2 linked regions of the Drosophila melanogaster genome follow. The protein of the gene in region 1 interacts with the protein of each later gene in a pairwise test. Each region holds a gene or a part of one and is shown on either strand. Other genes may lie near its edges. The genes, in order: CG7786 and CG16815.

What was found.
Region 2: the proteins of CG7786 (region 1) and CG16815 come close enough for resonance energy transfer, tested with the Drosophila melanogaster proteins (one study listed by BioGRID).

What each region holds. Positions count from the first base shown.
Region 1 is NT_033778.4:16,230,199-16,242,658, reverse strand, and holds CG7786 (uncharacterized protein), read left to right. Parts: upstream 1-7,722; coding exon 7,723-8,301; downstream 8,302-12,460. Other genes in the region: CG15708 (uncharacterized protein), read left to right, coding at 824-1,091, 1,148-1,632; krimp (krimper), read left to right, coding at 2,014-3,601, 3,673-4,325; CG3687 (uncharacterized protein), read right to left, coding at 5,315-5,570, 5,628-5,803; CG15701 (uncharacterized protein), read right to left, coding at 8,673-9,692, 9,782-11,881, 12,316-12,351.
Region 2 is NT_033779.5:13,223,217-13,235,673, reverse strand, and holds CG16815 (uncharacterized protein), read right to left. Parts: upstream 5,843-12,457; 5' UTR 5,769-5,842; coding exon 5,190-5,768; 3' UTR 5,125-5,189; downstream 1-5,124. Other genes in the region: Mabi (mabiki), read left to right, coding at 1,079-1,699; Prosalpha6T (proteasome alpha6 subunit, Testis-specific), read right to left, coding at 2,697-3,566; CG16813 (uncharacterized protein), read right to left, coding at 7,267-7,821; CG15480 (uncharacterized protein), read left to right, coding at 10,468-10,968; CG16812 (uncharacterized protein), read right to left, coding at 11,340-11,683, 11,742-12,329, 12,386-12,457.

The sequences.
Region 1 (12,460 bases):
TTTGTTAGAAATAATTTGAAATTGACAATATTAAATGCTTATTTGATTTGATTTTATATATTAAAATATTTAGTTCCCCCGCTTTTTAAGCTTTCCACTGTGTATTGGGGCACACGGCGGCATGTGGAGTCCTGTGTAGCCACGTGGAACCCCAAAACGGTCGCATCATGCCGTAAGTGCAGTAAAAAATCAATTTTGACAAAATGTTGAAAAACACACTCAAAGTCTTTAAAAAAAAAAAAAGCGAAATAAGTGTAGGCGAAGTTTGGCCCCTGATGAAAATCATTTGGGCGTTGGGATAAGGAGGCGTGGCACGTGAACGGAACCGATTGTTAAGATGAAGGGGTCGGCGGGGGGTGTCGAAAAATGACTGACAATAAAATGTTGACGCAGCCAAGGAGCATTATGGATACAGGGTGCTCGAAGGCGAATGGATTAAGTCGACAAGTCCACGGATGGGTGGCTCAAGTTGCCCCACTTCAAGTATTCCATTTCACAATAGCACTGAGTATACCTGCTATTCTCTGTTGGTCTTTATTGAAGGCGGGAGAACCCATATACCATATATGTACATACTTGGCTTAAGCTGATTGATGCCGAGGGTTTTTTTTTTCAATTCACACATCTGCATAAAATAAATCCTAATGCGTGTGTGCGCCAATGCTTATGTTGGTTTTAAGTTTATGGAAAACGAGTGAGTGAGCAGTTTCCCTTCAAGGATTGTGGCATCAAAAAATAATGATAACAGTAACAAAACCCATTCGTCGTCTAAAGTATTTCACTTTTGTAAAAGTATCTCTAGAGTTATATAGCGAATGGGGCCATGTCCCAGACAAATCCGAAACCAAGTGATACGCAATCACTGCGCTGTTTGCACTGCATGAAGGTGATCCGTTGCTCCCGCTACGACACCAGTGAACTGGTGCGACACATCCAACAGGATCATCCGGAGATATACGCAGTGACCACGGATAAAATCAAGAATCTGCACAAGCTGGCCGCGGATCACGGCATCAGTGAGGAGCGGCTCTCGAAGATTAGCAAGATGACGGGTCTGTCCGAGTCCCAGATGGCCGAAAAGGCAGAGAAATGTGAGAGTTTTGGGCGAGTTTCTATGATTGTCTCCTCGTAAAATTTCAATCGATAGATATGGCCAAAAAGAAGAATTATGGTCGCAGTGGTGGATCTGTCGCCGGTGACCCTGCTGCCGTCAGTGAAGCCGCCTCCTACAAAACCGAGAAGCCCAGCTCCCCATGTCCATGTTCACGTCCATTGGAGAACTCGACGTCGCATCGGAGGAAATGCTATCGCGCCTCCATCGAACGCTGGGCACCGGCGGAGGGGCGCATCTTTTGTCCGTGCTGCGCGACCAGCAGGCGGCCGCTTATCAAGGCTGCCACTGAGATCTCGAACAACGGCTGCTGTGCCGCCTGGGTGGTCTCCTGCTGGCCTCTGTGCTTCCTGCCCTGCCTCATGTCCGCGGACAACAATGAGTACCTGTACTGCGCCAATTGCCGCGCCTTTCTGGGCATCTACAATCGCGAGAAAAGCTGTGTGCAGCCCAGCAAGGAGTTTGTGTCCTGCAGCAAGTCGGTCACGGCCCCGCTCAAGTGTCCAACTGAAAACCTGTGAAAGGACTTTGAGTGGGCGTAGTACTTATTAAATTGGTTGTGTATACATCTGGCTATGTTTTTTTTTTTTAATAAAAAACAAGTTGTTCGATAATATCTACTTCTTAGTATGAGTGGTTTTTATATAAAATTAAACTAAAAAGCCAAACTTTTCTATTGGGAACATCTAAAAAGTCGATGAAATTATTGAACAGCCGCCAAATTCAAACCAATTAGCCAAGACACCAACCATAACAAGATGCATCGTTATCGACCGCGCATTTTGTTAATCGAAGCTTTCAACGCCGCAACATCGGGCAACGCTTGCCTTGCCTTCTCTTCCTCTTGCTTTTGCGCCGAATATTTTCTTTAAACTGTTTTCGTATTAAATTGTTTGTTTAAAATGAATCTGGAGGACATTTCGATGATTATGAAGCTGTTCGATAGCAACATGCACAAGCTACAGGGGAATCTACGTTCCTATCAAACCGAAATGCATCAAATTCACAAGGAGCTCACAGAAAAATTGTCGCATGCAGATCTGCTGTACAGGAGTCTCATTCCGCTGCACGATCACTTGGTGGCCAGTCTGAGCGAAGTTAATGCACACGTAATGAAACTGAATGTGCAACTACACATCAACCGCCAGTCTGTCAGATTGGGAGACTACGAATATTACGAGAAATCCATCGACAATCCATATTCGTCGATTCGCTCAGGTTTACAAGCGATCGAAAAACCGGGTTGTGCTGAAGCTATATGTCAGTCCTCGAAGCCGGCCTTCGTGGAATGTCTGCCCTCCTCCACTTCGGAGGAAGTGCCCGTCGTGGCTGTGCAGGAAGCCTCTTCGACAAACCAGCTCGACGCAATATCAGTGGTCAATGAAAACCTCTCAGAAGAGAGAGACGCTACTCCGCAGCCTTTAGCAGTTTCCAAGAACATGGAGGAGACTATGCCCTCGAATCCTTTCCACGAACAGCTTGAGGGATCTCTAGAAGAGATCCCAGTGGGCTCCAAGATTGTCGTGGAAACTGAAAAGGCCAACAATCCAGTACGTTCCGAAGCTTCCGCTCCAGCAACTTCTGACAATCAGTCCCTTCTGGCTGCAAAACAGGGAACTCAAACAATTGGCACAGGTATCTGCAACAAGATCTCCAAGAGCACCATCAACATGCCCAACAACTGGCAGCTTGAGAATCCTACTGAGGTAACTGCTGCATCGATCGAAAAGGTTAACAAGCTCCCAAAAAGTCCCAGAAACCGATTCCTATTGCCTCCCAAGGGAGGCACTGAGACGACCAGACGTGATATCTACAATCAAATCTTAAAGGACATGGCTGCATTTCCAGAGAATACTATAGTTACTGCCGTTTTAGCGAGCGTGGACGTAACGGATAATTGCGCCTATGTGGCTAAATGGGATGAAAGTTCTGATAGGATTAAGAAGGTGCTCCAGCGACAACTGCCATTGCAGGAGTTGGACCAGTTGCCCGACTACGGCGACATTTTTGCAGTTCTCGACAGTATTAACAACATCATTACTCGGATCACCATCAACTCAAGTTCTGCGGGCGGAGGATATGATGCGTATCTTATCGACTTTGGCGAGCATATTCATTTTGACGGCAACGAAACAATATTTAAACTACCGGACGACATCAAACGGTTGCCGGCACAGGCCATTAGATGCGATTTAATCAACTGTGATATCGCCAATATGCATTGCTTTGTTAATACGTATATTAAGATTCGAGTGCACGAAAACAATAATTCTACACTAGTGGCCGAACCGGTCATTGATAGGTTAAGCAGACCTACAAAAACGAACACCACTAAATATCCAGCTGGAATAACCGAGGATGACATGGCCATGCTGAATGAAATCGATGAGAGCACCAGTGATCCTCTGAAAGCAGTTCTTGGCTTTCGTCCCAAGGACGAGCAACGCATTTGCCGGCACTACGATCCCAAGCTGAATGGCTGTTTTAAGGGTAAGTTACAGAAAATTAATTGAAAAATTGGTTTACAAAGTAAAGGTTTTAATACGTGGCTTATTTGTAAGGTAACAATTGTCGTTTTGCTCATGAGCCCTTTGCTCCGAATGGCGCCACCAAAGATGTGGAGCTAGCTAGAGCTCTTCCTGAGACAATCTTTGATACAACAGTGCATTTTGAAATCGGCAGCATTGTCGGCATCCTGATCACCTTTATTAATGGCCCCACCGAGGTTTATGGCCAGTTTTTGGACGGATCTCCGCCGTTGGTGTGGGACAAAAAGGATGTGCCAGAGAACAAACGGACCTTCAAGTCGAAACCGCGTCTTCTTGACATTGTACTTGCTCTCTACAGTGATGGTTGCTTCTATCGCGCCCAGATAATCGATGAATTCCCCAGTGAGTACATGATCTTCTATGTGGATTACGGCAACACGGAGTTCGTGCCCCTAAGCTGCTTGGCTCCATGTGAAAACGTGGACAGCTTTAAGCCCCACCGCGTCTTTAGTTTTCACATTGAGGGAATTGTAAGGTCAAAAAATCTGACACACCAAAAGACAATCGAATGCATCGAGTATCTCAAGAGTAAGCTGCTAAACACGGAGATGAATGTACATCTGGTACAGCGCCTACCGGATGGCTTCCTAATTCGCTTCCTGGACGATTGGAAATATATACCTGAACAGCTATTGCAACGCAACTACGCTCAGGTTAGCCAATAAGTCGGGATAAGTCGTCGGAATAATGTTAATCAAATTTAAAGTAGACATAGTTTACATAACAATAGTTCCTAAGCTATTTGTAAGCTTTTCATTTCTGACCATGTTACAATTTAACCACTTACATTATCATGACAATGCTTACATTTCTTTCGAAGGACTCTTTTTGTTTTTGAATTATCACTACTTCGGAGCGATCCCAATAAACTGACTATGTTCGAACATGTTATCCAGATGTCATGTGGCTTGATTAATGTCCTATCTTGGGGCTGGTTCAATTATGAGCGCGGAACAGCCATTGGCAAATGACAAACACAAAACTGTCTCGAAACTAAAACAATAAAAATAATTGCCTTTAATGTGCAAAAGCAAAAAATCAAGGGACACCGTTTTGGACGTGGAAGCGCGGATCTGTCTGTCGGGTGGGGTGCTAATAGATTATGCCGCAACGATTAGAGAGGCAATAAATACCACCTGGCCGGGATCCCATGCGTGTTTGGTTCGCGGGCACATATTCGGACTGCGATGACGACAGGTCCTCCTTGTGTCCTCCGCTGTCCTGGTGTTGACAATCTAAACGGTTCGGCCAAAAGGGTAATGGGCCTGGCCAAGGGTCACATTGGGGCACAGTTCGTCGGGGATGTACTCCAGATCACAAACAGGGATAGTTGGCCTATTCACAATGGTAATACTTAAATCAGTTTCGGAAGCATTTCCCCTATAAACACCTGCGACATTCCAACCCCTGAGAATAATTAGCCTGGTTAAGTGTCAAAAGGATGGCAGACCCCGCGACATGTGTTCCCAACATAATGATGATTATGACCACCCGTACTCAACTAACTACCCCGAAACTTGGATTTGTAGGAATTTTACTAGACGATTACAATTTGGAAGAAGTGTGGAGAGTGTGTGTGGCGCGTTACTCTGCTGATCTGCAAGGAAATGAACTCAATAAACGAAATGGTTAACACAACAAAAAGTGAAATCATTTAGTAGTTGGCTCCGCGCTGGATGCAGGGTCCGCTGGAGATGGATCCCGCCTCCAGGCTCGGACAGTTGACCTTCTGCAGCTCGGCAATGCGCTGCCATGTCATGTTGAAGTGGCGCGCGGAACGGGCATTGGAGAGTTTGGCAATGGGTCCCAGGGTGCGGTATCCATTGGTAATGAAGCGTATGAATCCCTTGGCCGTTAGGTCCAGCAGAGCGGTCTTCACCTGCGACTCCAGATCGCCACAGGCAAAGGGTCTATTTAGATGATTAGCATTACCATTACCATTAAGTATATTACTCGATCTGTCTTACTCCTTTTCCAGCATCTCCAGAATGTGCTCCTCGTGGATACCATTGCTGTACTTGGGATGATCCTGGAAGATGCGCACCATGTCCAAAATATATAGCGGCAAATTGATGTGGTAGCTGTTGAAAGGAAGCCGCAAGGTGGTGGGCTCACATTCCCTGATCGATCCTTCGTCACACATTTCGTTGCTTATAAAAATACGATTTCCTTGTTCGATGAATACTTGTTAGATGAATACTATTCCGAGAGACAGGCTAAGCGAAGCCTATGCTTTGACTGTAGGATGGGGGCAGGGCCCACTTGGTCATGCCCCAGACCCCCGGGTGCTAATGTCATCCAATTAAAGGTGTCATTAACGGTTTGTCCACCGCGAAGTCCACGAGGTTTGCTCTTCAATTACTGACCAAACAAACAACGAAGCAATAACGTGTTCTACTGTCTAGATTACCCGGTAATTTGTCTAACGCATTAATAGCCTATGTCCAAAACGATCCTCCCAATGCATTAGCAATGGGTCCCCGGGGTGGGTAAAAAAAAATCGAACTCAGTCCGTAGAGTAGAAGTTTGGTGGTTTGGTAATGCCAACCAATTCAAACCGATTCCAAAACGTACTGCTTTCTATATGTGTGCATTTCGAATCCATCTCGCTCGACCCTTTGATGGATATTAGACTGCCTCCAATTCTCCAGACATGTCACTCCGGCACGCAATCCATTATTTCCGGGTTCGGCTCTCAGTTGGGCCAAAACACCATAAACGAAACATCGGTGGCATGACAGTCAAAGGGTTAACTATGTATGGCCCAAACTTTTGCCAACAGATAATAAATTAGCGCATACATTATGAAACGCCATAAGGATGCGACTTCCGGTTGCCGGAGACGGCAAGGACTCCGTGACCCAAACTGCCAATTTACCACCCCGGCAAACAAACAGGTGACACTTTCTCAAACCGAAACGAAACGGAACGGGTTAAAGACGACACACGGAGTTCATTTACATGTCGATGGTTGTTGGATATGCATACGGTGGTCTTGGATGTCGTGAGTGGCATTGTCGGAAGGCAAGTAAAATTTTACGATTTTGAAGAATCATGCTTGATCAAAATAAAGTTGGTAACAACTTTTTGATGTCTTAATAATAGCGGATTAGGCATATTGCAACTTTCTGACGCTGCAGTTTTTGGAGCTCAGCTAAAAAGGAGCAGAAGCTATTCCTCTTAGGACTATTGAAATCGATTGGTACACGCTGGAAAAATCCTTTAAGTCTCAAAAAACCTCGGAAATAAAAAGTTCACATAGAGCAATTGAAGATATATTATGCCTAGAATATCTGATAAAATGATTTGGAGTGATAGGAATCTACAAGAACTATCAGTTTAAGGATCAAAAAAAGTATATCTATTGTATAATGGTTCAAATAAGATGGCTTCATTTTAATGTAATGACTAAAAATTGCATATTCATGATTTACATTTTACATTACCCCATGTTTTGCTATATAGTAAGATATCCTAAAGGATAACTTTCAGTGAGTGCAAGTAGGCTTCCACCACGCCTCTTTCAGACTATTACCGCTGTTATCGCTGTTATATTCGTCCACAAAATGCCGGTCGATAGCCAAGGGTCACTCTCATTGGTCAGCGCATGGACAATGGGTAAGCCTTACTATCTCCGCCCCAACACATAACAGTTGGTCAACTCCAAGGGCCAAGAAGTGATCGGCGAGCGGGGAGAGGTGGACTGGACTGGGCTGGGGGCATGTAATCTGGCTAACCAGTTATATGAAGTCCTTGTAACCGGGCAGCACAAATAAATGCCATGCGGCCCCGGCCAAGTGTCATGTATTTGACGAATAATTACCGTCAACATTGCGTGATTGGTTGAATCAGCCGGCGATGGAGGGTTGTGGCTGGCTTAGAATTAGCCCCAAAGCGGGTGTATGTGTGTGTGTGTGTGTGTACGTGGGGGAGTTTGTGTGACAAGAACCTATAATTACCACGGCAGGCAGGTGGTCGCCTCGCCAGTAGCTAGCTTCTTAGCCAGGAGCTGGATTCAGATATAGCCCGGCCGTCGGCGCGAACGGAAGTCACCGATATAGGATGCACTCGCCCGCCCAGTCGCCCATTTTGGATGTCACCGAGACCGTATCGATGCACTCCGAACTGGATGCGGAACTGGAGTCCAAGAACAATCCGTCCTACTCCATTTCCATTCCCCAGAATCTTCGGCTAACCGGTCTGGGCTTTCCCGGCATGATCGGTGCCAAGAGATCGTCGGAAACTCTACCCGCCTTCGAGTATATCGCACCACCAAGTCACGCTCTCCAGGCACTGGAATTTCCGCTGATGGAGCTCAATCGTGTGGGCGTAATTGGAGGCGGTATGTTTCCGGGTTTTGTGCACCGTCGCGTCCGCGGTGAAAAGCGACCCATTCCGGAGGCTCAAAAGGATGCCAAGTACTTTGAGCGGCGCAAGCGAAACAACGAGGCGGCCAAGAGGTCCAGAGATGCGCGGAAAATCCGCGAGGATAGGATAGCATTCCGAGCAGCGCTGCTGGAGCAGGAGAACTCCATTCTGCGGGCGCAGGTCCTGGCGCTGCGGGATGAACTGCAAACGGTGCGCCAGCTCCTCGGAGCCACAACAGCCGGCGGCATGTTGTCCATGGCCAGGCAGGTGTGAACCACTCTGCGGGATCAGATGGAAAAGTGTACATATCAATGAGGGAAGCTAGTGAGATTATTTAGTTTGATGTTAATAAATGTTTAAAATAAATACTAAGGATATTCTAATAATATATGTATGCATATGCAGGTGTCCCTTAAAAAAATATGTTATTCAGATATATAAATATTGGCCCATCTATATAGAGTATTTTGCTAGTGCTAGTACTATAGTTCTATAAAGTCATATATATATCATTTATATATCACAAATTGTGCAATAGAAACCATTAAAATTGATTAAAAGTGAGTAGGACTAGTTCGAGTTTATTTCATTTTAAAAAATGATTTCAACAAACGCATACAAATAATTAGAAAATATTTAACAAGCTAGTAGTCCAGAGTGCGCGACTGCACCTTTCCAGTCGAGTCCAGGATGAGCAGAACCTGTTCCTGTCCACAACTTCGAGCACCGGCAATGTCCGTCACCTTGAGGCGTGTGTCCATGAGCTCCTCCACGGGTAACTCTCTGTCGCGATAGAAATCGTAGTGACGCACAGTGCCATTGGTGAGGGCGGAAAGCTGCCAGCCGTCGCTGGAGAGGATCAGGGCCTGGACGAGATGCTGGCGCAGACCGCTGCCACTTAGGAGCAGCTGCTGGTCAAAGACCCTCATTTCGTAGGAACGCCTGGGTCGCTCAATCAGCTCCAGAGCTGTGTTGGGTCGGGCATCGTACGTGGGATTGTCATCCATCTGCTGGTCAAATGATCTACGCTCGTTGAGTATGATGTTTTGAATGGCACACGATTTGCCCGTCTCGGGATCGGGCTCATCCGTGGCCGGCGGAAGTCCTGTTTTGGGTCTCTGCTGATTCCTCTGGCGCTGCCTCTGTCGCTGATTGCAGTTGAGTATCATCACAGATCCATTGGACAGACCCACGGCCACATAGTTCTCATTGGAGAGCACACACAACGAGGTGGGAAACAGGAAACGACTTTCGTTCACGGCGATCCTCGCGAAGCGTTCCGTCTTCAAACTACGCGTGCAGCAGAGCACAAAGTTTCGGTTGGTGCACACATAGATGAGCTCACTGCCCGTATCGATGCTGGTGAAGCGCAGGCCCTGCAATCCCTGTCCCTGGAGTGCCGTGGTCAGCGTTTGCGTGTCATTCAGCTCACGCAGCACATCATCGCTGTAGATGTTGCCCTGGAACAGGGACTTGGTCTTCTCGTACGCACTCTGATGGCTCTTCAGGAGGCGTCGCTCCAGATAGCTCCTCAGATCACAGCTGCCACTCTGCAGTAGCTTCACACGCGCCCACGGCGAACTGAACTCGTTGCTGTTGGTGGACGAGGCGCCCTCCACCAGGGTCCACATGGTCAGCAGGCCGGAGTCATTCAGCGAGGCGTACTGTCAAAGGATTGCATATATAATTAATTATATGTATTCATATAGATCTTTACATAGAATTTATAAATGAATACTACAATAAAACCTACCTGAACTTCCTTGTACGTCGTCTGCAAACCACTAGTCGCAGCTACTCCTCCAGCATTCAAGTGTGATCTAAAGCTGCGCACATCCACCACAGCGCCCAGATCCATGGCATTTACCTCCTTGTCCTGTTGCTCCGGCATGGGAACCACCGATTGTGTGGCTGCAAAATGGGTTAGGTGGCCATCCAACTTGGAGCAGTAGCTGTGCGTCTCGCGCAAATCCCACATAGCCACACTACCATCTCTCAGTCCGGCCACCACGATATCCTGGGCCTGCGCAGATAGTGCCACACGGCTGACTTCCGCCCAGGTGGAGAGCAGGCGCAACGGCTGGCTGGGATTGGCCAGTGACCACACCATCAGAAGGCTGGCAAAGTCCTCCTTATATACATTGCTGTCCGCAGGACACTCGTGCACGGTGACCACCAGTTGTCCATTTCCGGCACTTCCAAAGATTCGACGCACAGGCAGTGCGTTCAGCAGTCCCGTCTGAAGTGGTACATTTCGAGGACTATTCCCCTGGCCGTGGGCCGTGGTTTTGCCCTCCAAAACCAGTCCCATAAGTCTGCCGGCCCTGTGAAGAAACGAATTCAGTCGCTCCAGATCCGTGCTCTTGGCCAATCTCTTTTGCTGCAGTTGCTGGGAGCGTGCCTGCTCCAGGCGATGCAGTTGCTCCAATCGAGAAATGCTAGCTTCGTATTCATCTGCAGGTTGCTTGCTCCATGTTTCATCCAACTCCGCATCGACACTGCAGCTGAGAACGAATTGCCCACCATAGTGGGGTGGATGTTGGGTCCAGCTGCTACGACTGTGCACCTCCAGCGTCTGGCACTCGCCGTCCATGTGTGGTGACTGCGTCTGTGTGGCCACTTGACTGGCATTCAGCTTCCCATAGCTCTGCATGAATCCCTCGTAGCTGAGGGGCTTCATCTCGAACAGGTGGTAGTTCAGTTGATCGAAACGCAATTTGGCCATTAGCTCTTCGCCGCGACGACTGATCACGGGATGGGAAACGAATCCCGAGTAGCCACCATAGTACACGTTAGCCTCTCCACTCCGGGGCTTCTCCACGCCAGTGGTGCTAATGCCCGAGTCCAGTTGCTCTGAGTTGGCCATCGAGTTGGTATCAAAGCTATCATACTGATTCTGCGTGGACAGACTGCTCAAGGGATTCCTGCGCAAATGCATGTCATAATGACCGGAGTCCAATTTCCGCTCTTGATCCTTGTCGCGTTGGATCACAGTGATGGGATTTTGGGTGGGCTCCGAATCCTCTTCCTCCCGCTCCTCCTCCACTTCCGCCTCGGAGGATGAGGGCTCCTGCGCTTCATCGGATTCCACCTCGTCGGGCGTGCTGGCATCGGTTTCGAAATCCGATTCATAGGATTCGAAGTCATCGGAGTAGTGATCGGATTCCGGTTCTGGCTTTTTGGCTTCATCGAATTTGACTTCAAAGGCCACTGGCTGTTTCACAGGCTCTGATTCCTTGGCCTCCACTTCGCTTCTTTGCTTGGCGGATTCACGCTTAAGGATAACCACTTCCTCGGGATCCAAGGTGCGTGTATAAGTTCTGGATCTTGCCGGAACAATACGAGCATCTCCCTTGGAAGGAGACTGTGGCTTGTGCTCCTTTTGAGTCTGTGCAACAGGGGAATATTCTTTTGATGAAGGCGTGGGCGATTCCTTCTCCTGCTCCGCCTGTCCTCTGCGCTTTTGCGGTGGCGAGGCGACCGTAACACTGTGATACGTGTCCAGAACTGCATTGGGCTTCGATTTGGCCACGAGCTTCGTGGTCTTGGTGGTCTTGGACTGCAGGGGTGGGTTTGTGGTCGTGGTTGTGTGTCTGGTGGTGGCACGCAATGCACCTGGGGACGGAGTGGTCCTCTTGCTCAAGGACTCCCTTTCCTTGTTTTTCCCCGTGGCTAATGGCTTTTTGCTGGCGGTCGTAGGTTGCGCTGCTGTTGTGGTTTTCCTCGCAATTTTTTCACCTTCCAAGCTATCCGGTTGTTTGGCCAGTGACCTCCGCTCCTTCGATTCCCTTGTGGTGGCCGGTCCACTTGTTGCTGGTGATTTAGTGACCTTCCTTGGCACTTCCGTTTTGACCTGCAATTCGAAAAGATTTTTGAAATCATAACGTCTTGTCGGGGTGCTCAGCACTATTTCTTAGCATTTTACAACACTGACCCAATCTTAACATATTGTTTTTTTTTTTGTGTGGCGATCGGTTCGTTTATTAGTTTTAATTGAATGCTATTCCATATGTGCTGCGCTATTAAAATGCTAATGTGTGTGCTATTGGGCAATAAGGCTTTAATTGCCATTAACTCGAAAACTAAGCTGCTAATCTAACTGTGCGACAGGTGTAAATGTTAAAAAGTTCGTTGGTTTGGTTTTTGTGAGCGAGTGAAATGCAAATTTGCTGTGCAAATAAGTGAAATCGCTGTTGGCTGCCAATCAATGGAAAGGTGTACTATATATTTGTGCTTTTGATATATATGTATATATTCTTCGTTTCAAGTGCCTTTCTTTGGGCTTACGTTTTTGCTGCTGGTTCGCCCCGCATTTTTTGACATTTTAGAAGGAATAAATGCTGTTTAAAGTGCTTAATTAAGCTGCGAATTAATAGAAGTAAATGCCGTATGCCACGTAAATTTAATCAATCGTAATGCAGCTCAGTTGTGA
Region 2 (12,457 bases), on another chromosome or scaffold:
AAGTGCTTGATTAGTGATTATTTAGTCACGTGTGTCTAGTAGGCAACGTACGTCGATTTTGTCAAAGCTTAAAAGGTTGGAAATGAGTCATACGCGTACAACAAATCTTTATACTAATTCGGAAAACCTCAGTTCTTAACAAACAAATAAGTAGGTTATTTTACGCAGGCCAATTTTCGAATACTTTTTTTTTTAGGATCGTTTTAAGATGCGCTGAGTTTACAACGATTTATCAAGTGACCTGGCACAAAAGAGATAAACGCACGTTATCAGCAGACGCAGACTGTCTACAGGAATGTGCCCTTTTGCAACCCCAAATAGACGTCATCTTATCGTCATCTTCGGCATTAAACTGCAAACCCAGAAATGGCACTCCGAGTTCCAAGAAGTGATATCTAAAAAAAGGGAAACAAACGGAAAACAAAAGATCAGTGCCACACACACCTTATCAACAGCAGGATACAAAGGGAGTTGGACAAATGAGGCCGCAAAACACTTTTCGAATAGAGGCCAATTGAACAAGAGTAGCCCAAAATCCATATATGTATATATATATATGACTTTTACAAAAGGCGGCGACATTGAAAAACACAGCAGATAATAGATTTGAAAGAGGAACAAACACGAATTGAATGAACCCAGACAATCGATGGGCGCGCATTTCGCCACCTACTGATCCGGAAAAACTCGGATTGTATTGTATCTGAAATTCAAAAGATCCCAGCTGAACGCACGCAAGAATAAACATGACCAGTAGATAGGGATGCCCAACGGGTGGGCTTACAAGTAGGTAAGTGGGATGGGTTGGGTTTTGGGTTTGGGTTTGGGTATGGGATTGGGTGGCATGTACGCGTGCGCAGGCAAATCGAGCGGGTTTATGATCTTGTTTTCGTTTTGCAAAAAGAAAATTCGTCGTCGATTTGTGTAAACAAAGTTATAAAAGTTGTGGGGGGATTACGAAGAGCGGCAGATAAGGCTTTCGCCATATAAGCTAGTGTACCAATCCACAGGACAGCATTCAATCGAGAGTCTTCGAGTAGAACACACATAGCATAACCATAGCATATCATACCATACAATGGAGCACCATCAGATCTATCGCCACAAAAAGTTCGACATGGGTCGAAAGATTGAGAAATGCGATTTGCAGCTGAAGGAAGAGCTAATCTCCCGGAGCGGCACACCCTGCACCAGTCGGAGTCCTTTCGATGCGGCAAATCAGTCCGTCAGCTTGGGTTTCAGTGATCAGGATGCTGACTTTCCTCCACTGCCAAAGCGTCGTCGTTTGGGATCCTCATCCTCAAGCGTTTCCTACCAATCCGCCAGCCCCATCATAACCGAGGCCATCCAAGACATCTTCAAGTACCACGTCAATATGGTGCGAAAATTCCCGAAGAAGGAGCGTTCACCGAAGGATCAGGAGCGCCGCAACAAGAACACAATTGCCTGCAGGATGAGTCGACGGAAGAAGAAGTTCGATGACCTGCAGATCGAACAGCAGTACAAGGAGTGCTCCGATGAGCACCTCAAGATCGCCGAACAGAGTCTGCGTGCCAGGGTCTATTTGAATCATCTGAAGCAGCTGGTCAAGCAGGAAGACCACCCGCTAGTATCCTCAAGGAGAGTTCCGGAGGAGAATACCAAGAGTAACTTTAGCATCGACTACCTGATAGGTGGTATTAAACAGGAGCATGCTTAGATACGTCCATCTCCTTTTAGGATTGTATTATATAGTTATTATATTAATGCTAAGTTGTTAAGTTTCTTCAAGAACTTTTAGTGCTAAGAAATTTAGTATATATTTAGTATAAATGCCTTAAAAGGTTAAGCAGGAACTTCTTAATAAATAAAATATGAGGATTTAATTTTTACGGCTAATTGATTTTTTATCGTGTGCTTGACTTTTAATCTTCCTTCTAAAAATGGTATAAATATTAATTTATGACATTGGCAGAAAAAGTAATCAAGCGCTAATGAAGCAATGAATATATTAAAAATATATATAAATAAATTTAATAAAATATAATAAAGCGTGGAGCCATCGAAATAAATCCCAATTAATCCCCAGGGGTAGTTCGCGTGGTGTCACAGGCAATCATCAGCCCCTGGAGCAAATCGTTATTGGTGACCCCATCGACTATTGCCTCCCCCCATGGAGAATATCAAGCCAGTCGGATAAAGTTCACTGGGTATTAACCCTGCACCCTGGTCAAACCACTGGCAATAGAGCCGTAAACCGATTGAAACCGCAGCTACGGGAATGTGGGCTTAAATAATAACTACTCCTATTCCCGTCCATCGCTCAGCTGTCATTGTCGCACTTAAAGTTAAACTAAACACTTTAGCTATTAGTAGCTACGATATTTTCAAATACATTGTAATCGAATTGGTCACGCTAAAGGCTTTCATTTGCATAACCCCTAATCCCTGTGGAAAATTTCAACGTATTAATAGGAATGGCAAGTGCTATAGTGTTTCCATTATTTTAATCCGATTAGGTTCCATAAGATGAATATATATGCTATACATGCTATTAAAACTAATTCAGAATTCAATTTCCTTGCTAACCGTTTCTTGTTTTTTTCTTTGACAAAAACGAAGCAGCCATACAACATAATAACTATAAACTTTAATAACATTATTAACGAAACAATAAATTTAGTATACTCTGTCAGGGTTTCTAATCACAGATTAGATCAATGTGCGTCACTGCCGCCGGTGGATGCAGTGGTTTCCATGTCAGATGTATCATTGGGTGGAACTCCACTGCTACTCGGTCCGTGGTCCGTCATGTCATCATCGCTCATTCCCTCCTCGGATAGAGGATCGTGGTCCGCCTCCAGAGGTGGATCCATAGCCTTGACCAATTTCACATACTTCTGGTTCTCGGCTTCCGTAAACATTTTAAACGGCACATCCTTGCCCACAATGGCCACATTTATGGTGAGATTCTCGACATCATCGGAACCCAACGATCCTCGAATGGCCTGAATGGCATGACATATCAGTTCATCCATGTCGCAGTCCTCGAAACTCTCCATATTTCGCTCCAGATATGTGCGAGCACTCTGCGAACGAGATCCAATGGCCATTGCCTTGCAGTTGAGCACATTGGCCGTGGGCATCACCTGGTAGATATGTGGTCCCTGCTCATCGTATCCAGCCACCAGCAAGCCCACACCGTAGGGACGACGATCATAGCGCTGGGTGGTGGTCTGCAGCTTGTTACCCAGATTGGAAACCAAACGGCGAACCGGAAATTCTGCGTTATAGGAGTGCCGATATGCCATGCACTCCGTCCTCATGTACTGGCACACCACGCGGGCATCTGCCGTTAGTCCTGCGATAGACATACCCACGTGGTCATCCACCGGCATGATCTTCCGCTGGAGCGTGTTCGTGTCCTTTGAGGTGCGGCACAGGGCGGCCAGCACGGCATAGTCGGTGCCCTTGAGTCCCACGGTGGCTGCTCCCTGTTTCACCGCCTCCATTGCGTACTCCACCTGGAAGAGACGACCCTGCGGACTCCAAGTGGTTGTGTCGTTGTCATACTGATTCCGGAACATGGCCAAAAGTGTGAATGAATTCAGCGAAATAACGTTAGCTTGTTAGTTGCAAATTTGTCTAGCTTGAGTTGAAAGTAATTGAAAACTGATATTAATTTCAAGGGTTTGCTTATTCATAGAATTTCTTAAAATATTTACTCGTGTAATTGTTAATTAATCAATTTGTAATGGCCAATTCTAACTAATTTCATAGAATGAGGTCACAAAGAAAGGGTTTCGATGCATACCAAGAGAAAAGCCAATTGCAATCCTAACTTTGCTTTCACTCCAGCTAACTTGCATAATGCCTAACCATGTAGAAAATCAACGGTCTATGAGGAAGTTCGGGTGATCCGATGGAAAAAACATAGGCTGATGTTCGTCACTGAGTGCACCCGCCTCATATGCAGCCAACTGCATCGGGCTGTGAGTGAAAAATAGGAGCTATGATTTAGTCGAAGTATTCATGCTGCCGGGGAAGCCCCCTGCACATAACATAATTAACTCTTTTGGCGATTGCGCAATCGCTGTGCGCGAGCAGTTAATTACTTTTAATTTTCATTGATAGTACTTGTGGCAGTCCGACTTCCTATGGCGCAAATTTCCGTCGCAACTCCAACAACCCAGTAAACCACTTTGCACTTGTACCATGCAGCCAAACATCAATTTCAGTTAATTGTTGAGTTTTTTTTTTTGTGGCTGCATTTGGTTTTTTTGTTTTTGGCTTTTTTCTTCTTTTTTTCCAACTGGCCTAACATTGAAAATTGCATTTCTGCGCTTCGAGCTGTGTGTGCTTGCAAAACTCCGTCTCACTGGCCAATTGAACTTGAAGCTTTGCTTGGACTTTGTCTATATCTCCATATCGCCACATCCGATCTCTGTCAATATCATTAGCCAACAATCCACCGCGTTGAAGGCGATGCCAAAAAGCTTGGCCCAGTCCAAAATGTGGTTCTTTGTGGCGGGTTTGAACCTTGACGAAAGCCGCCACGAAATGAGAACGCCATGAAAATTAGCTAGACAACAATTAGTTGAACTTTGCTGGGTAATGGCACTCTGGGTAAATGGTTTCTCGGAAAAATCTGTCAATGCTTCGATGACTCACTTACTCCAGTGGTCAGACAAGTCACTGGAGTAAGTGGTTTTTGAGCCCTTGATTGAGCCCTTTTTTACCAAAAGTCATATCAAATAATAGATAATCTACTTTTGATAGCAGTACTTTTAGTTTTATTGAGCTAAAAATTATACCATAAATTTTATATATTATGATCACGATTAGGTTGTAATTAAATTAGAAATGATAATTGATCTCTTAATCATTTTATATAATTTTACTATTTTTCAAGCCGGTGGGTTAACTTAAAGATGTTTAAAATCCTAATATATATAGCATTATTATACATATGTAAAAAAATGTAATGGTTGCGATCCACTGACCTCCTAACAAATTTAACAATCATTTTAGATTAAATTTCGAATTTTCCAAGTGATAACCCCCAGTTAACAAAACCGGCAATTTAAATTAAATGCATAACTTTTGATTTATTTCAAAGTCAACAATAAATATTAATAATTAAGGCTTAATAAACTAAATCACATGATTGGGCTATCCATAGTCGCTGATTATGATATGATTTTGGACGGTCAGCAGTGCTGGCCACCAAAGATGAGCATCTGCTGGGAGAGGGCCATCTGCTGGAGGAACTGTTGTTGCTGCTGCGGCAGGATGTGACCCGGTGCCGGATTTATGGCACGCTGGAACACCGCCTGTTGGAGGATGTGGCGGTAGTATAGACTGAGGCGCACCTGCTGTTCCAGCATGGCGGCATGATGACTCCGATACTGCTCGTACTGCTGACCCACTTGCTCCTCCTGTGCCTGCTTGGCCCGCCGGCTGAGTAGGCAAGCCAGCGTGTTTCTATCGCGGCGCATCTGCTCCTTGGGGCTTCGCTGACGATTGGTGTTACTGCGGCGCACCATGTTGGCACGGTACTGGCTGACCGAGGATCCTGGGCCACTGGGTTTCGCCGCCGTTGACGTCTCCTTCTCCGCCTGTTGGTTCTGCTCATTATCCAACCAAGGTCGGAAGAATCCCTGTGTCTGACGGCGCTTGAAGATCGGCTGTTCCGACTGCTGAGTTTGGTTCTCCTTGTCATGGTCCACTTCCCGTTTCCGCTTGCTGACGGCAAACTTCTTGTGGGTGTAGCTCGATGAGTTCTCCATTTTTGTATTTCGATAATATGACTCCGAATGAGTTGTGGTGATGATGTGACTCGTTGGACGATCGCTTGCTGAATGATTGGCTTCGAGATTGATATCCTGGTTATAAGCACAGTAGGTAGGCGGTACAGGTAGCCACATAGGGAAATCCCTTTGTTTTGGGTCTGTCAACAAAGGGATTAGCGCATCCATTCCGCATTAGGTAATCTCCGTCCTGGATTAAGCAGCATATTTTATGACCTGCTCTATCACAGCGCTAATTGTCGTCGCAGGATTGCCTCATTATCCTTTTTTTGGTGTGTGGATTACCTGGATTATCGGACAAATGTGGCCACCGGAACAGGAAAGTTCTGGACCGAACAACTGTTATGCAGGCGATGCATTTTTTTATTGACCTGCATGACACAATTTGTTGTGGCACCGTGTGTGGTCCCTTTGGCTCCTGGTTCCTCAGCACACTTTGTTTTAATTCCCTGGAAATTCTCGAGGGTCCTTTGCCGAACACTTTTCCTCTAGAATGACATGGCATTATATGTCCTGGTCGGTGGTTAGAAAAAAGTGTCAAGGATTTTTAAAGACTGCTGACAGATGCGATTTCAGTTTACGGAGAAGGAATTGCATTCATGGAAGTCTTGAGAGGTGAATTAAATATATTTAATCCATTTATTAGTTTAGGTAGTAAAACACGCCTTTAAAAATATTTAAAGAGTTAAATAAACTTCGTACAAACATGTATACGGCATATATCATATATATAAATGAATTAGTAAAACACTATTCGTGTAAATAATTTAGTATATTAAGATTTATTTATCTGCGCAATTTTTAATCGCGGACAACAATATGATGATTTCATTGATGATTATTTAAATATAAAGGCGGATCTTATTGTCACCGTGTTTTAATTATTTTGCAAGCACTTTGTTCGTTCGCTATGCTGATTTGTTTATAAATTAAATAATTAAATCCAACTGAAATAAATTACAATTTTATTCCGTGTTTCCCACAATATGTCACTCGTGCCGAATCGATTCAATTCTCACTGTAGTCTGGCTATGTGAATCACTAGAATTACTTCACACCTTAATTAGCATTGCAAATTGCGCTTCCAAGAAATTAATTACATAAGATGTATTTAATGTTATATAATGGCAGAAAAACCAAGTGAGGTAACTCTTATGAGCTGATGCTTCCGGTCAGTTTTGGTCTAGAACAAATCCTCATGATGTTAAACGGCGGAAAAGAAATATCAGACTTCCAAATAAGATTCAATAAATAAGACCCCGAGTTAGATTTCAATCAATCAGAAACCAACTAAAAACCAATTATTACAAAATTCTATAAAAATTACAAGTTATTTCGATAACAATTAGTGTGTTTATTGTTTAGTCAACCAGATAAATAAATTAAACTTTAAAAGTAATCACAATCACTATTCAGCTTTTCTACAATAAGTTAGGGCGCATTGAGCAGCGCCCAGTCGTTGCACCATGTCCACCCTTCAAGGATGCTGGGTGGTGGTCTGTTGGCGCGGCATCATGTGCCTTGGCTGTGTGGGAGGCAGTGGCTCCGTGGAGGCCATCGCCTGCTGCAGGAAGCGCACATAGTAGAGACTCAGGCGGATCTGCTGCTGCAGATTGGCCTCGTGCTGAATGCGACTGGTCAGGTATTGTTGTTCGATGAGCTGCTGCTGTTGCTGCTGGGAGCGTCGATGGCGCAGGCTGGCCAAGGTGTTGCGATCCCGACGCAGTTGCTCCTGTGGACTGCGCTGGCGGCGCTTGTGGTGATTGCGCACCATGTTAGCGTGGTAGGTGCCATCCACTTGTTGTGGCGGCGGTGTCGATGTAGCCACAATCTTACGTGGCGGCTGTGGTTGCTCCTCTTCCGGAGACTCATCCATCCAGGGTCGGAAGAAGCGACGCTTAGGCTGCGGCTGCTCTGGAGTGCGTTGGCCCGGCTGTTCCATAATGAAGACCACATCGTCATCAGAGTCCGCATCCATGCTGCGCTTTCGCTTCAGAGCTCCAGTGAATTTCTTGTGGTTATAGTTATCCATTCTTGATTAAGAGTAGTGGTGTTCGCTTTGCTGTCTTCGAGACGACTGTGCTGCCCCTCCTCCTGGCCATCCGTTTTATGCAACATTAGGTAACTTGCAGAGCCTCCCACGAAAACGGAATGGCCAAATGGCAAAGATTTTCCCATCACGTACCTGGGGATCACGGTAAAACGGATCAGGTATTTCCCCAACGCATTTCATTCATTCCCTAAAAATGGGACCAAAACTAATCGGCTGCTGTTACCTGAATTGGGAATAGGGAGTTCCTAATCCGCAGGCTGGCAATCTTCTCAAAGGGTGTCATAAACCAGTTGTTGTCCTTGCCTCGTCTGTTTACGTGGCCGACGATTTTCGACGAAATTACCTGTTGTCGGGCCCGAAAAAGGGATCTCTGTGTAGAGGATCCCTGTGTAATCTCTAATCCTGGCGCTCAATTCGTCCAGGCTGTCTGCCGGCCGACCCGCTATTGTTTCGGCTTTCTTTGTGGCACCTGAATAGCAGACATGCTGCAGTTTTCAATGCCCGATCTCGATTCGAACAACAAGCGTTTATGACTTTCAGCTTGGACAGCTGAAGAAAAACCGTCTCGGAGTTTCTGAATCTCCCGGTACATGTACATACTAGCAAACCTAGAAAACCGGCAATTACTGAATGCTCCTCCCTCTGCTCCCTGGTTTCGTGTCTTTGGCATTATGTCGGATTTTTCCGTTTCATTCAATGGTCCATTGTCCATTGATTTATGCCGTCAGGGAACGAATGTATATGTGGTAGATGGTTCTCACATTTCAGTGTTCCTCCGCCTAAGCGGATTTATTTCAGGTGGGCTTGAGACGAGCCCTCCTCGAGGAATCCCAAAGTCAATAAGCAGGAGCGGAGTGGGAGTTGGTTATTTGTTCAGTTGAAGTATTACAGTGAAAGATTGTCGTATTGTTTGATTGTTTTCCTTTTATTATATTGATCAATTTTCATCTGTTCTGGAACGCAGAGAATCGATTGCATTGGGTCCTCCAGGGTAGGTGTTGTTCATTCCTTCAAGGGGAATGACCTTAAAAAGAGCAATAATATCCTACCAGGAAGTGCTTTCACCAATGATACAATTAAAGGTTGTCTTATATAATGTTGTATTAACAGGATGGTGGATGGGAAAATAGATTCCCATATATTTTTCTAAGGAGTAGATCTTTTCAGCGATGGGAAATTTTAGCCTTGAAAAGTTTGCTTTTTTCTGAGAAACAAGAAGGAATTATGTAGATGAAAATAAATAGGTAAAAATGTCTATTTAAAATATTATGATCCAGAATCGAGAATATATAACTTTGTATGATAGCAACGATTGTATCAACTTGCGTCCAGGATAACCTTGTATAAATATACCAAGGATTATTCACTTTGAATGGTTTAGAATATTAAATTAAGTCCAAAGATTACTTTTAAGAATTCACTTAAAAAGGGAATAGAAAAGTTAAGGATATATGTATATATTTTTAAATTCGTATAGTTGTAAAATAGTAAAAGCAGTAGTAAACGTATTTACAATAATGAAAATTCGAACTGCATTTAAATGTATTAAAAATTTTAAACAATAAATAAACTGCTTTAAGAAAAACCTATATGTGTGTGTGTTTACATATTTATGTACTTGTATATCATAAAACATTATCTTTACTAATGATATTTAAAGTCGGTTATAACCCTTATAGTATAATGCAGTATAGCAATATTCTATTGTTTATATCACAAGATTTTCACTTTGAAGGTTTAGTTTTGAAAAAGTATAAAATGAAAACCTTATAGTCTGATTTCATATAGCAATATTTTAATTTCTACATTACCAATCTTTCATGATCGCAAACCAACAAAAAATAATGTTTAATTAATGTATAATAATCATATAGTGAGTGACATATTATAAACAAAATTTCTTGCTTTTCCATAAATTATGACTCTACTATTATACAAAAAAGAAAAGAATCCAAGAAATCCCGTGAACAGACTAGGCCAGACGCGCACCCATCGATTCGGGAAAATCCCAATAAATTTCCATTCAATGACCATTGTGACTAAGCAGCGGCTGGCATTTTGCCGAAGGTACATAAAGGTATACCCGGATACCCTGGACGAGAACTTAATGAGGCAGATTAGCGGTAAGCGAGATAAGAATCCAGATTCCGAAGCGTCCAGACAACGTGGCCCAGCATCAAAGAGTGGCAAGCGCAGGCGCTGGCCAGATTTCGAGGTAGAAAACGCTTCTCGAGAAAGTCGGCAGGGAAATTTCCAAGAAAACCCGGACGGACTAGGCAGACACAATAGAAGGTGCGAGCAGCGCGCTGCAGCAAATGAAAAATTAATTACAAAGGACTTTCAGATGAGCAGGTAGTAGTAGTCGGCCAGCAATGGTCACAGGTACTCGTAGTGTATGGATGTATGCCGAAATCCTTTTATTCTCCCTACGACAATGCCAACCTTTTGTCAACGAAGAGTTTCCCATAAACAGGGCGCATGTTCGCTCTTAATGATAGTGTTTTCAGGTAGGACCTCTGATCTCGTTGGTATAAAAACCTGGTTGCGCAGCAGCAGGAGCATAGTCGAGCCTTAACAGCCGTCGTGAAAACAACTCAACAAACAACACAACTTAAAACCCCAATCATGGCACCTTCGAACATGGATTACCACAACGAGTCGGAAGTTGGCGAGAGCTACACCCACAAGAAGTTCAAAACCGCCGGCTATACGCACAAAAAGTTTGGCAAGAAGAGCTCCAAGGATATCGCCCCCAACCCAGCCAATGCCACGCCCCTATTCCGGCCATATGCCCTCAGCGAAAATACACCACGAAAGCGTCGCCAGGAGACGGAGCGAGAGGTTCAGCAGATGCAGGAGCAACCATTGTACCATCACCACTCATTGCCTCCCACACCACCAACCACGCCACCGCAGCACCAGCAACATCCGCTTCCTGCCACCCAAGTTCCGGTAACCCAAATTCCGGTCACCCATTCGCCGGTCTTCAATCACCAGGCATACGCTTACATGCTACAAAAGCAACGTGCCGTGCTCCAGATGCGTCAACTGCTCAACATCAATCCGGATGCCAACACCTGGCCACTGGAATGGCGCCAGGCCCTCCAGGCTCTGCTGCAGCAATGAGCTTGATGCGCACATAAACACATTCGAAACGGAGTGATTTGCTTAGCAACCAGTGATATAGACCTTTAAGTGACCGCGGACAGATTGTACAATATGAACGAATGCGAAATTCTAGCGTAATTGTAGATACATATAATTTTAAACAAAATAAATAGTTTTTCATCATAAAGTTAATCAATTGGTTTTATGTTCTGACAGCTTGCGATGGATACTAATCGGGTATTCAAAACAATCAGGAGTTTAAACTGAAATAATGAGATCAGGATCAAAAATCCTGCCATTTCTCATTCATTTCATACATTTCAAATCAACTTCTATTTTAATTCAAACATGTACTGGCAAATTTAATGAGGCTCACATTTACTTAAACTTTACATAGAGTTATTGAAGCCAAGGCGGTCAAAAACAGAGCCAGATTGATCTCGCTGCCTGCTGTGACCAGCATTCATGCTGTTATGGCGCCTTGGCGGAACATATTTCTTCTGTGGCTCCGGTCGCGGCTGTCGATGTGGCGGAGCTGGTGGAGCTCTAAGGGGAGCGGAGGTCGCGGTTTTTCCAAGCCTCCTGTGGACGGGCACCGTGTCCTGTCGGCTAAACAGCTCGTCGCTGCGCATGCGTATGGTCTTGCCCTTAACAGGACTGAGTCGAGCCTGTGGTTTCCTTGCAGGCGATGCCTTTAGGTTGTATGTCTTCTTCGTGGCATGAAGTTTGGATACTAAAAAAAATGTTATAAATTAATTGACTGTGCCACTTCTGCTCTGAAGCAAACATACCCATTCCGAGCCTTGATTTAATATTATTCGCAAAACTTTTGCCCTGCCTATTTTTGTATGCCGATTCGGGAACGATTTCCCGAACCTCCGCTGTCGAGGCGAACTTAACAATCTTTTCGCCGGCTCCCATATCAAAATCTTCTCCGCTGGACATGTAATCCTCTTCGTCACTTTCGAAATCGTCCATGCTATCATCGTCGTCGTCGCCTTTTTTAAGAGGCACTTTGTGAACTAGCATGACCTTTTGCTGCGTTACAGCGGCCACCTTCTTCGCTTTCACAATGGGCGAGTTCTTGGTGACCCCTCCTCCTCCTCCTCCACCACCAACTGTACGGTGTGTGTTTTTAAGGATCGATTTGATTTCCCTGGTCGAAGTGAACTCCTCCGGAAGAGCGCCCTGCTTGCCACCGAGTCGAGCGAAGACCGAATTATTGCTGGAGGTGGCCGCTGTTTTTGATGCGCCGGCAACGTGCACGCGGACGCTGCTCTCGCCCGAACTGGAGACAATGCCCTCCTGCGCCTCGTCCTCGGCATGCAGGCGCGTAAATATGTCCGACTTTTTGGAGCTGCTCACACGATCGGAGTATACTAAAAGAAGATATATTGAAAATTTGATCTTGTTCTTTAGAAATCTGTAATCTTACATTTTTCCCGCTTGGCTAAGATCTGTTTGCTGCGCTCGGTGGTTCCCGAGGGCAGTGTCACCTTGTACTTGC